Mus musculus: one gene and its partners. The protein of the gene in region 3 interacts with the protein of the main gene of each other region in a pairwise test. Links are inferred from orthologs where the notes say so. Each region holds a gene or a part of one and is shown on either strand. Other genes may lie near its edges. The genes, in order: Erbb2, Erbb4 and Hdac6.

Evidence for each region.
Region 1: the proteins of Hdac6 (region 3) and Erbb2 interact in a protein complementation assay, tested with the Homo sapiens proteins (2 studies listed by BioGRID and IntAct, with this or other methods). The link is inferred for Mus musculus from reciprocal best matches to the Homo sapiens genes HDAC6 and ERBB2.
Region 2: the proteins of Hdac6 (region 3) and Erbb4 interact in a protein complementation assay, tested with the Homo sapiens proteins (2 studies listed by BioGRID and IntAct, with this or other methods). The link is inferred for Mus musculus from reciprocal best matches to the Homo sapiens genes HDAC6 and ERBB4.

What each region holds. Positions count from the first base shown.
Region 1 is NC_000077.6:98,411,163-98,414,912, reverse strand, and holds the start of Erbb2 (receptor tyrosine-protein kinase erbB-2 precursor), read right to left. Parts: upstream 2,430-3,750; 5' UTR 2,251-2,429; coding exon 2,178-2,250; intron 1-2,177. UniProt on the Homo sapiens protein: Protein tyrosine kinase that is part of several cell surface receptor complexes, but that apparently needs a coreceptor for ligand binding. Essential component of a neuregulin-receptor complex, although neuregulins do not interact with it alone.
Region 2 is NC_000067.6:68,072,522-68,076,171, forward strand, and holds part of Erbb4 (receptor tyrosine-protein kinase erbB-4 precursor), read right to left. Parts: intron 3,044-3,650; coding exon 2,897-3,043; intron 675-2,896; coding exon 577-674; intron 1-576. UniProt on the Homo sapiens protein: Tyrosine-protein kinase that plays an essential role as cell surface receptor for neuregulins and EGF family members and regulates development of the heart, the central nervous system and the mammary gland, gene transcription, cell proliferation, differentiation, migration and apoptosis.
Region 3 is NC_000086.7:7,941,347-7,944,996, forward strand, and holds part of Hdac6 (histone deacetylase 6), read right to left. Parts: intron 3,453-3,650; coding exon 3,368-3,452; intron 3,269-3,367; coding exon 3,228-3,268; coding exon of another isoform or gene 3,224-3,227; intron 2,392-3,223; coding exon 2,295-2,391; intron 2,139-2,294; coding exon 2,041-2,138; intron 792-2,040; coding exon 687-791; intron 567-686; coding exon 498-566; intron 1-497.

The DNA of each region.
Region 1 (3,750 bases), on a different chromosome or scaffold from region 3:
GGCCTGGAGAGACTCAGACTAGAATTGAAATAGGAATGACCCCTGCCAAGTTAAAGACCTGTGTTTACTGCATTTCACAAAACCTTTAGTACTGAGGAACCCAGCAACAGCTTGATCCTCTGGGTCTCCCCAGATCTCCTTTCCCCTACACACCTGCCCAAGACCAGTTCTGGGGTCGAACCTGGAGCTAGAGGCAGCTGATGGTGCCCTGCCCTTTTAACCATTCCTGGCAAGGCAAACTCTGCCTTGTCCCTCTGCATCCAGCAGTGCATCTGAAGGGATGAAGGCTCAGCAGCCCTCCACTCCCTGTCTGGAGAGCAGACCCTTCAGATTCCAGCTCTACAGCACAGGGCCACTTCTGGTCAACTGCAGACCCTACCCAGCTCAGGTGAAGGGTCTAACCTCACTCTTCTGCACGGAAAGTCAGCAGGAAGGCTGGCCTCCTGAGAAACTGAAAGGAGACTCCATCCTGAAGAAGGCAAGGGGCATCTCCCAGTGTTTACAACAGATAGAGCCCAGTGCCTTGAGGAAGTTCCTAGAGAGGGCAGAGTTCATCCTGTGTCCCCAAGTCAGCAGAGAGACTGCTGTTTGGCAACAGAAACTGGGAGGAACACACAACCATCATAAAAACCTCAGACACACAGGGGTATCCCACAGTGAGCACAGCAGTGTGCTGTCAGGAACTGGGGCAGGAGAGGGGGGCAAGGGGGCACAGATGGTGATACTCCACCAGCCTCCAGGCTCGCTGGCCTCTGGAGAGCACCTACTGTTTCCAGAACCTGTGTTCTGCATCTTCAATACAGCCCACTGATTACGGAAGCAGTGTCTCCGCACTGCTCAGCTAGACTCGTATTTATGTGAATCATATATCATATCCTGTGGCTGGTCACATTGCCTGGGATCCACCAGTTACTCCAGGATACTTCATTTCCCCAGCCCAGGTTTCCCCCCTGGGACAAGGAGAAGGCTACTAATGTTTCCACTGTGGAGTTGTTCTTAGTACTGTAGAAGGAATGCATGCAAGCCACCACCCACGGAGCCTGGCAGAGCTGACCCACACGGGGTGACTGTCAGCTTTTACGCTCATGGTAGAACTGGACATATGGGTCAGTATACACACTGCTGGGTCACCCTCCCAGCCCCCAACACGAAGATAAAGGCAAGAAAACAACCCAGCTCTCTGTCTACCCCTAGCTGACCTTACTCCTTTTCGGTGCCCTCCCCCCGCCCCCAAATGCCCAGGAACCCTTTCCAGTTTATTGTATGGAAGCCGGGAAAACACAAGACCACCCTTCAAGATCCGAGCCTTCCCGGAATCCCAAAGCACACAGTACTTAAGCTGGCTCTAAGGAAATTTGTTCAAAACAGGGCTGTGGAGTGTGCAGCACTGTGATAGAGGGCTTGCCTAACACGGGCGAGACTGGGATGGAGGGTAGGGGTGTTCCATCCCCAGCACAGAAGAGAGAGAGAGAGAGAGAGAGAGAGAGAGAGAGAGAGAGAGAGAGAGAGAGAGAGAGAGAGAATGAGAGAGAACTGTTGCAAACAAATGCCTGCCCCTCCTCCTGCTCCCCCATATCCCAGACACTATCGATAGGCAACTCAACTGCGGAGCCGCCACTCGGTCCTCCCTGCTCGACAGGATGGGTTACTTTCCCCACCGCCCCCTCCACGGCGACCCCACTGGAAGCTGGAGTAACTTACTAAACCCAAAGGGCCAGAGGGGGTGGGAAGGGGGAGGGGAGGGGCAGAGGGGACCCCGAAGGCATCCTGCCCAGTCCGGTCCGGAGGCGGAGGCTGCCAACTGGAAGAGCTCTGAGAAAGCGTGAGGGGGGCTCGAAAGGGGGGAAGCAGGCGCACGCACGCACAGCGCTTCACACACCCTCCGGAGGAAAACTTTCCGACTAGTTTCAGAGAACTTTCCCAAGGAGTTCCCGGAGTCTCCTGGAGCCCGGGAGGCTCCGGTGTAGCGAGAAGGGGCCGGTCCGGACCTCCAGTGTGGTTCTCCGAGTGACTGTCCCATCCCCAACTGCTCCGATCTCCTCCGGGCCGCGGCGCCGGTAGCCGGAATCGTCCCAACGTCCCGGACCGCCCGGCCGTGGAGCTCTCGGGGCCCCGCGGCTCCGGCCGCCCGTGGGCGCAGCCGTAGCGGCCCGAGCCCTCCCCAAGCCAAGACCCACCTTGGGTACCCGCGGCTCCGGGGGACAGGAGGGCGAGGAGGAACCCCCAACGGCACCAGGCCGCCAGCTCCATGATGATCACTGCGGCTCCGGCCCCATGGCTCAGGCTGGACCAGGCTGCGGGCGCGGGGCGCGGCGAGGGCAGGCACAGGCGCGGCGCCGGAAGGGGCCGCCTGGGAAGGGGCGCTCCTGGGCTCCGGGTCCCCAGCGGCGGGCAATCTCAGCTCCACAACTTCACGCCGCACTTCCTCGAGCAGCCCTCCTCCTCCGCCTCCTCCGCCGCCGGTGATTGGGAGCCGCGCGCTCCCGGCTCGCCCCCCCACCCCTCCAACTGCATTCCAGCAAGACTGGGAGTGGCTGCTCCCAGCTTCACTTTCTCCCTCCCGGCGCAGGCCTGGGTGCGTCGCGCCCTGTGCCCTGACGCCTCGCTTGCTTGCTTGCAGTTCTCACCCACTTCCTAAAAGCAGGGCATCTCTTTACCCCTCTTTGCAGTCTTGGGTGGGTTTTATCTTGGATACTCTTGGAACGTTTGCATCACACTCTTAATACCAGATAAATGGTTTGTCGCCACATCCTCAGGTAAAATCAGCCTGGGAAGGGAATGTGTTATGTCTAACTGGTGACTTCCAAGACTCTCTGGGATATCAATTCTGTCCTTTTGGGTATCTCCTGCCTGATCTTAAAGGAACCCACAGAACTAGGAGAAGCGAGTCACATCGGGAGCCCTCTGTTCATCCTTGGAAGAACAGCTTCTCCTGTTTCTTTCTCTTTTTAAGACTTATTTTTATTTCAAATTATGTGTGGTCATATATGGGTTTTGGGGGGTGTCACATAAGTGCTGTTGCCCACAGAGGTCAGAAGAGGAAGTGGGAATCCCCCAGAGCTGGAGTTACAGGGTGCCGCCCACCCACTTTGGTGCTGGAAACAGAACTTGGGTCCTCTGCAAGAGCAGCACAGGCTCTCAACTGCTTAGCCATCTCTCCAACCCCATGCCCACTTCGTTCTGACTTTACCCAGTTCTCAGTTTCATTCATCGTCCTCTCTCTCCCTGTCCTTTTCGCCTGCCAGTTTACCCCTGAAGTACCTAGATATCACTCCTGAAGCCTGGTAACAGGTGAGAAAGGAAACAAAGGTATGCCTTTGGTTGGAAACTCCAAGAACACATTGCAAGAGACATGTTTACCAGGATGAATTGCCCGTCGTTTATCTGAAATTCAAATTGAACTTCATTACGTCCTTCTTCTTTATCTGCTACATCTGATGATGGTACTTGGAATGTTCCAGTAAAGAACACACCTGTGCTGGTCAAGATGCAATCAGAGGCATCTTTGGGGGAGAGAAATGAAGGGTGGCCCTCTCTTAATCTACTTTCATTGAACTGAAACTCAGTTTCAGGCAGACACTTCCACGCTAGGGGCCAAAGAACATGGGACTCTGGTATCTAGAAGACCTGAGTTCGTATCTTCCCTCTATCACATTCTGGCAGTGAGACCTTAGGCAAGTGACTGACGATCTCTGGGTCTTGTTTTACAAATCTGTAAGACTGTGTGTGCTAGGGGCTAAAGGAGAAGAC
Region 2 (3,650 bases), on a different chromosome or scaffold from region 3:
CTATCTTTTGGATTGTTCTTTGGTTTAGTTAGGCATCAATTCGTTTAAATTGAGTTATTGCTTAGATACTATGCACCTCGCCTGATAAAACAATCCACATGTACTTTTTAAATTAACATATGAACGTACAGATTTTGTTATAGTGTTATGATAGAAAGGACATACATACATTATTTTGGTTTATCATCTTCTGGTACTCCTCTCCTCTGGCTGTTTAGCCCTTTCCTTCTGAAATAGTCTTTCCATTTCTCTGTCATATGTATTCTATTAGCCTCTTTTGTAGTTTACCTTTCCCTTGAAACCTTTTTCCTTTCTAATCATCTCTTCCTAGTTTTGTGGCCTATACCATGTATATGTGTATATGTATGCATGTGGGTTATGCATATGAGAGAGAACATATAGCATTTGCTTTTCTGAGCCTGCTTTGTCTCATAGACATATATAGAACCATATTCAGTTTCATGACTTCACAAGTTCTTTCACATGGTCACTTTATTGCTGGATGTTTTCAAAGTTGCAAAGTTTAAATAGAGTTTGTTATTAGAGACTCTTAAAAGCAACATCAAAATAACTAACCTGAATAACTAGGTATCTTTGAGGGTCTCTAGCCATTCTTGAAAACTCAGCAGCCAGTTCTTTGAATTTAGGTCTGCTGTCAGCATCGATCATCCAACCTGGAGATTAATACACAGTAAAATATTAGTGTATGTAATAATTAGTAAAGTTGAAGTTTGGGGAAATATGGGGATATATATATATGTATATATATATATGCAAAACAAAACTAGAGAAAGAAGTGAACTATGCTGTAACTCAATTAATTGACATTTGTCACAAAATGCAATATACTATAAATAACATTTTTTAAATTCAATTATTTTTAATTGTTTCTATGTGTGGGTATGGGCATATGAGGGCAGGTACACAGAAGCCAGAAAAGGGCATTGGATCCCCTGAAGTTGGAGTTGCAGGTGATTGTGAATCGCCTGACGTAGGCATTGAAAGCTAAATTTGTGTTTTCTGCAAGAGCAACAAAAGCTCCTAACTGCTGACCCATCTTTACATGATCCCCAATTTTCATTCTGAGTCAAACTCAATTTTTTTTTAGCTTGGAAAATAGCTTTTAAGCTAACCATGGGAAATTTTAGAACCTCAGATTTTGTTGTTCTTGTTTTGGAGTGTTAAGATAATGTCCTTAAAGCATTCTTTGATGGCTGCAGAGATAGAAAATGAAGTTTCAGATCAAGAGTACATGGTAGGAAATATTTGCTTCTCATCATAGCACTGTAGTACAAAAGATTGAAAATGGGGAATTTGATAGCAACTCCTTTTGGCAGGTTTGTTCCTGTTTGGAAGGAAAATGGAACATGATTTATAATGTGTGTTCAACAATCCTCATTACATTTATCTTAGAATTAGCTTTCCCAGAATAAAAATACTAGTTTTCAAGGTAGGTAGTCTTCTTTAGCTGGGAGTTCAGAGAAAATGGATCTTAACTGCCTATGCTCTGTTTAGCTGATGAGATGACAAGAATAACAGCGCCCAGCTTGCTTTGATTTCCTTGCCAAATGATCCTTTTCTAAAGCATAAACTCTCCAGGGGAAGAGAGAAAAACAAAGGTGAAACATTGTATATGCTTTGTCTAATAAGGCAAAATGTTTGCCTGCCTTTCCGTCATCACATTGGGGTATTCAGATAACATCTGATGCTGGTTATAGGATCAAATTATCATATAACATAGGGATGTTTTTAAGCTCTCTCCCAGGTCATGGAGTAAACAAGGACTGATCTAATACAGAATTCTTCTATTCCTGGAGAGTTAATTTTTAATTCTTGTTTTGGAAATCCTTTGGGTATCATCTTATGCATCCTTTGTGTCACCTCTCTTAAGCTCAAGCACTCTGCACCTTATGGGTATTCGTTTCCAAAAAAAAAAAAATGCTTGTTAATACCAAGATGCTAATGACAAAGCTACTAGAGCCAAAAAAGGTTAACTTCAGCGTGAGATATTTGTTTCTCCCTAACTAAATATTGAGTAAATAGAACTATGCTTAGAGAAAAGGGCATGCTGACCTGCACTGCAAGGAACATTTTTTATTCCTTCTCTTCCTGTCAGAATAGATCACACATGTCATGAATATAAATATGAGAAGACCTGGGCCCAGAGTCTCAGAGTCTCTTATTAATAAAATGCTTATTCACCTTCACCACTTAGTGGCTTCCTTTAACCCTGTGTAAATCAAAACTGGAAAACCTCAGATTATACAAGAGAGATGGCTGCCAGTTAATCGCACTTAAATTAAGTCAGAAACCCCAGAGACTTTTTTAATTCTATTAAAATTAGGGGTCTAGGCTTTCAAAACACATTTATAATACATATGTGCCTGGAGTATAGAAGTGGAAAGAAAAGTAAGAACATTTGATGTAAGCAAATGACCAAATTAAAAAGAGTAAACATCTTAATCTTTACTTCGTTGTGGATTCGTCTCTTTTGACTCCCAACCTGCTCTGTTAACTTATGTTTAATTAAACCCATATCTACTTTAATTCATTTTCAGACTCTCAATGATGTTTAGCTATTTTCCCATAAAGATTAACATTAATATTATTACTAACATTCTTATGAATAATTATCTCTCTTTATGACAAACTTCAAAGGGTATGGAAATTTGAAAAATTGTAAGAGTAAGAACGACATAATTTTTACTTTGTAACTTAGTGGCATACTATTACCTCATAATAGTAATTACCACAACATGTATTTATATTCTGCATTCGTAAATATTCTTGCTACTCTATTTAACAATTCAGAGAAACATTTTGCAGGTAAAACAATCTAAACTTTTATTTATTAAGAATGATAATGCAGGCAGAAAGAGTGATTTTGCAGCCTTACATTTGACCATGACCATGTAAACATCAATAGTGCAGATGGGAGGCTGAGGCAGACGCTCTCCTTTCTCCAGTAAATCGGGGATTTCTCGGGTTGGAATTCCATCATAGGGCTTTCCTCCAAAGGTCATCAGTTCCCATATAGTGACGCCTAGTTGGAAATACAATTCTCACATAAGCAAATTACTGTCACAATTTGAATGAACACGTATCACGATGCACTTTTACAAAGCAAACAGTTGAAACTTAAAGAAGCTCCTTTCTGGTCTTTCACTCACTGCCAGGATTCCAATGCTAAACCTTCCGGAGACAAGTCACAGTAAGAATTCTTTCACCATTGTCTTGGTGATTTTAATGCATAGCAAGAAAGATTTATAATAGATGCCAGAATTTAAAGCAAGTCCTCCCATTTGTACCTAACGGCAATGCCAATGTTTACTGATGAAAATTGTTTCACATACACTAAAATCCAGAATACCATGCCTTTACTGTATGCATGTGTTTAATGCCAAATAAATGTAATTTCAGGAAAAGCCTGACATGGATTAATTTTTAAATTAGTCTCTTGGTAGGAAACGTCTTCATCAAAGGCAGAGGTGATCGGTTCAGATGGTTGCAGGTGGCTGTTGTTATGGTAAAGCCTTGTGGCTCTCTGTTCAGCTAACACAAAGAAAACATGTGGTGTAGAGCAATTTACTGAGCACATCCAGGAGTCTGCATGAGGATCAATCCATATGGAAGACAGAATGCATAGGAAT
Region 3 (3,650 bases):
GATACGTGCATGCTATGGTATGTATATGTGGAGGTCAGAAGACAACCTGCAGGAGTTTCTTCTCTCTCATTCCACCATGTGGGTCCTGGGGATCAAACTCTAGTTGTCAGGCAAGAACTTTAACCTGCTGAGCCACCTTGCCACCCGACTAATTTTTCAGAATAGTTTGAAATGTTGTCATAATTGAAAAAGACAAAGCACTAATCTGAGGTCCCTTCCAGCTCAGGGGTAAATTGCTGAACAAGCTCTCCAACACTAAGTCAAACCCCACATCTTTCACTTCTCTGCCTGACACTGGAACCTGTAAGGTTGTTTGACCATGTGTGAAATGGGAAGGCCACAGTTTCCGCTTTAGAGTGAAATTAGGAGACAGTAGACAACAAGGAAAAGCATCCACTTCCTGGTTCCAGGACAACTGAATGTAAATGGCTTCCTAGCCCCTGTGGCTGGGCCTGATGGTTAAGAATCCAGTACTTAGGGTGAGACATGGGATGTACCTGGGGTCCTGGTCGAAGATGAACTGTGTTCCTTGACCATGGTGCACATCCCAGTCCACGATGAGAACCCTGTGAGCAGGAGAGAGGGGAGCTCTGTGCAGGGGGCTAAGTGAAACACAGAGGAACAACCTAGACCACAGCACCCCCTATTCCATGCTACCCACGTTCCGTCTGTCACTGGCTACCAACCTCTGAATGCGGTGCTTCTTTTGCGCATAGCGGGCAGCCACAGCCAGATGGTTGAACATGCAATACCCATCCATAAGATTGTGCTGAGCATGGTGTCCAGGAGGCCTAAGCAGGAAAGGGAAAGCTACAGGTTTGGGAGTCTTCCTCTCCAGAGGTGGACTCTCCTGTGTTCCCAATTCTTCCTAGAGAGATTCTATAAGTCTGCCAGCAACTGAGTAACTGTGGCTTTTGAAGCTTCACTGCCCCCAAGCCAACACTCTCTCAACCAAGGAGATTTAAACATAACCATCCAAAGGTACCCTCACCCATATTTGCTATTGTGGCACATGCCCGCAATACTAACACTCAGAAAGAATTTGAAGCAGGAGGATCGATAGTTCAAGGCCTGCCTAGAATGTATAGCAAGCTCCAGTCTCAAAAAATAAAAATCAATTAAGCTATCCATAAGAGTATGAAAGCATACTCTTTAATACCCAGTCATTTTGCTACATAGGCTTAGCTGAGACCTATATAATAAAAAGTGCTATCTTTAGAAATGTACCACTGGTGTATGCTATCAAAGCCTGAAGAGAACCAAAATTCCCACCAGCAAGGGGGTGACTAGCTTAAAAGTATGCTTGCACAATGGCATCTCACACGAGTGTAACCCATATACTGTTAAGAGACAGCTTTCAAAGATAAAGATGTCCAAGGGTTTTTTTTTTTTTAAATGCACGGTACGGAAAGGAGTGCTGTCATGTGCTTACAAAAAGGGGCTGAGGAGGACAAAGGCTATCTTCTGCATTTTTATCAGTTCTAGGAAGTCAGCTGTGGCCCAATGTTCTGACCTTCCATGGGCAACAATGAAACAGTGAAAGGCACAGGCTGAGGCTTGAGATGTCACGCACTGTTCGCTGCATCTGAATTTCAAGATGTTCCAGATAGAAAAGAAATACATGTCCCTGAAGCCATGAACTGGGATACTTATTACTTACTAACTGAGTAAAACCATCTGTGGAAGGACACGGAAGTTACTGGTGACAATGAGCACCTTTCAGGGGTCCATCAACAAAGAGGAGAGAGAATTTTATTGAACCCCCTTTTTGTACCACTTGACTCTTCAACCACTTGAAGACAGGGTACCTGAGTTAACACATTTCACATTTGTAGGGCTTTTTTTTTTTTTTTGAGAAGGTGTCTTAGATAGCCCAGGCTCGCCTCAAATTTATATAGCTGAGGCTAGCCCTGAACCCCCCGAGCATTCCTTTAACATCCATCTCATAAGTACTGGTATTACAGACATGCACCTCCACGCACCACTATGTGGAAATGCTTTTTAAAAAAATGTAAGATGCCCAACGCTTCAGAGTCCTACCTGATGACGGCCATGCCATTCCGAATCTCAGCCCCCATGAGTGCATCTACCAGCCGGAGGACAGAGCCTGTAGCCAGGCAGGCACAGGAATATGAGTTCTGGGGACCGTGGAAAACCAGAGAGAAAGAGTTAGAGAGAGAGAGAAAGCATGGCCCTAACTATTTAGCTCTTCATTCCCACAGTGAGGTTGGCATGGATACGGTAGACACCCAAGACTTGCTGCCACACCCTGACCCCACAGTTCTCATCCATACCGGATGCAGATACACTGAATCATAGGTTTCTGCCAGTACTCGAAGCTCCCCTTCATTCATGTACTGGGTTGTCTCCATCAGATCAATGTATTCCAGGCTGGGGACACAAGATAGAGGAAAGATTTTACAGCCCTGGTCCCTCCGCAGACAGACCTCGCATTAAGTCGGGCCTCCATAGTCAACCTAGGGGGTTCAGCTGGGGTGCAGGCTGTAGTCCCTTTTTCTTCTCTAGCCTCTCCCATCTCTAGTTATATATTTAGTTCCTCGAGACAGCCATTAACTTGAAATTCTAGGCCTCTGACTAGATAGTTAAGAGTTCTGTTGATTCTCCCTTTCCTCTGCCCTTCTCTTTGCTGGACTCACCCACCTTTTTGCCTCTTGGAACTCAGCTCAGATATTCTCTCTGCGAGGCTAGTTATTCTGTGAGCCACATTGTACCAGGCCTCTTCCTTTGAGTTTCTAGACTCCCCCAGGACTCATTCTGATCATTCTGGCAAGTATCTGCCATCAGTTAACGAACCAGATTATAATAACACGAGCCCTTCACAGGCTTAAGATGCTGTCAGGTACCTGATACACACACTGACCCTCCTGAAGGACTTAAGATTTCTTTTTCTTTCGGGATTGGCTTTTTCAGACAGGGTCTCATAAACCCAAGTTAAACCTGCTATGTCGCTGAGGCTGTCTTGATTTCCTGATTCGCTTGTCTTCATGTCCCAAGTGATGACATGTACCATCATACTTGTCTGGAACTTAGGGGTTTGTGTTTTTTTTTTGTTTTTGTTTTTTGTTTTTTGTTTAAAGCAATAACATATTCAGAGAGGCTCAGGGACGTGCCCAAGGCTGGCCACAGAGTCTATGGGATTCCTTCAGTCTGTCCTGGTTGAGCCTGGGTATCCTCCTCCCCACCCTACCAAGCTCCTAAGTTTTCACCTGTGAACCAACATCAGCTCCTCCTTCTCAGCGAACCGGGCCTGGGGAGGCACAAGGAAAAAAAAGGGGGGCTAGAAGCCAGGCCAGGCCTAGGTCCTCGCAGGCCCGCACCCACCATCCGAAGGCTGTGGAGGAGTCACCTGAAAGGACACACAGCGGCCCAGGAGGCCCTCCAGGATCAGTTGCTCTCTGATGGCATGGAGCCGCTCAGGGCTTTCAGGGAAGCTGCAGGAGTGGATGGAATCACGCATACACACAGATAGGCAAAAGTGCTAGGGAGCATGTCTGCTCTTGTCCCATCTCCGCCCCTCACCCCCATAGCTGCTCACCCCTTACCGGCAACATCAGCCTTTCTTTGTCATTTCTGAAGTCTTTATACTTGTTTTCTCCGCTACCATTCACGCTGTTGGAACCTCCAGTCTG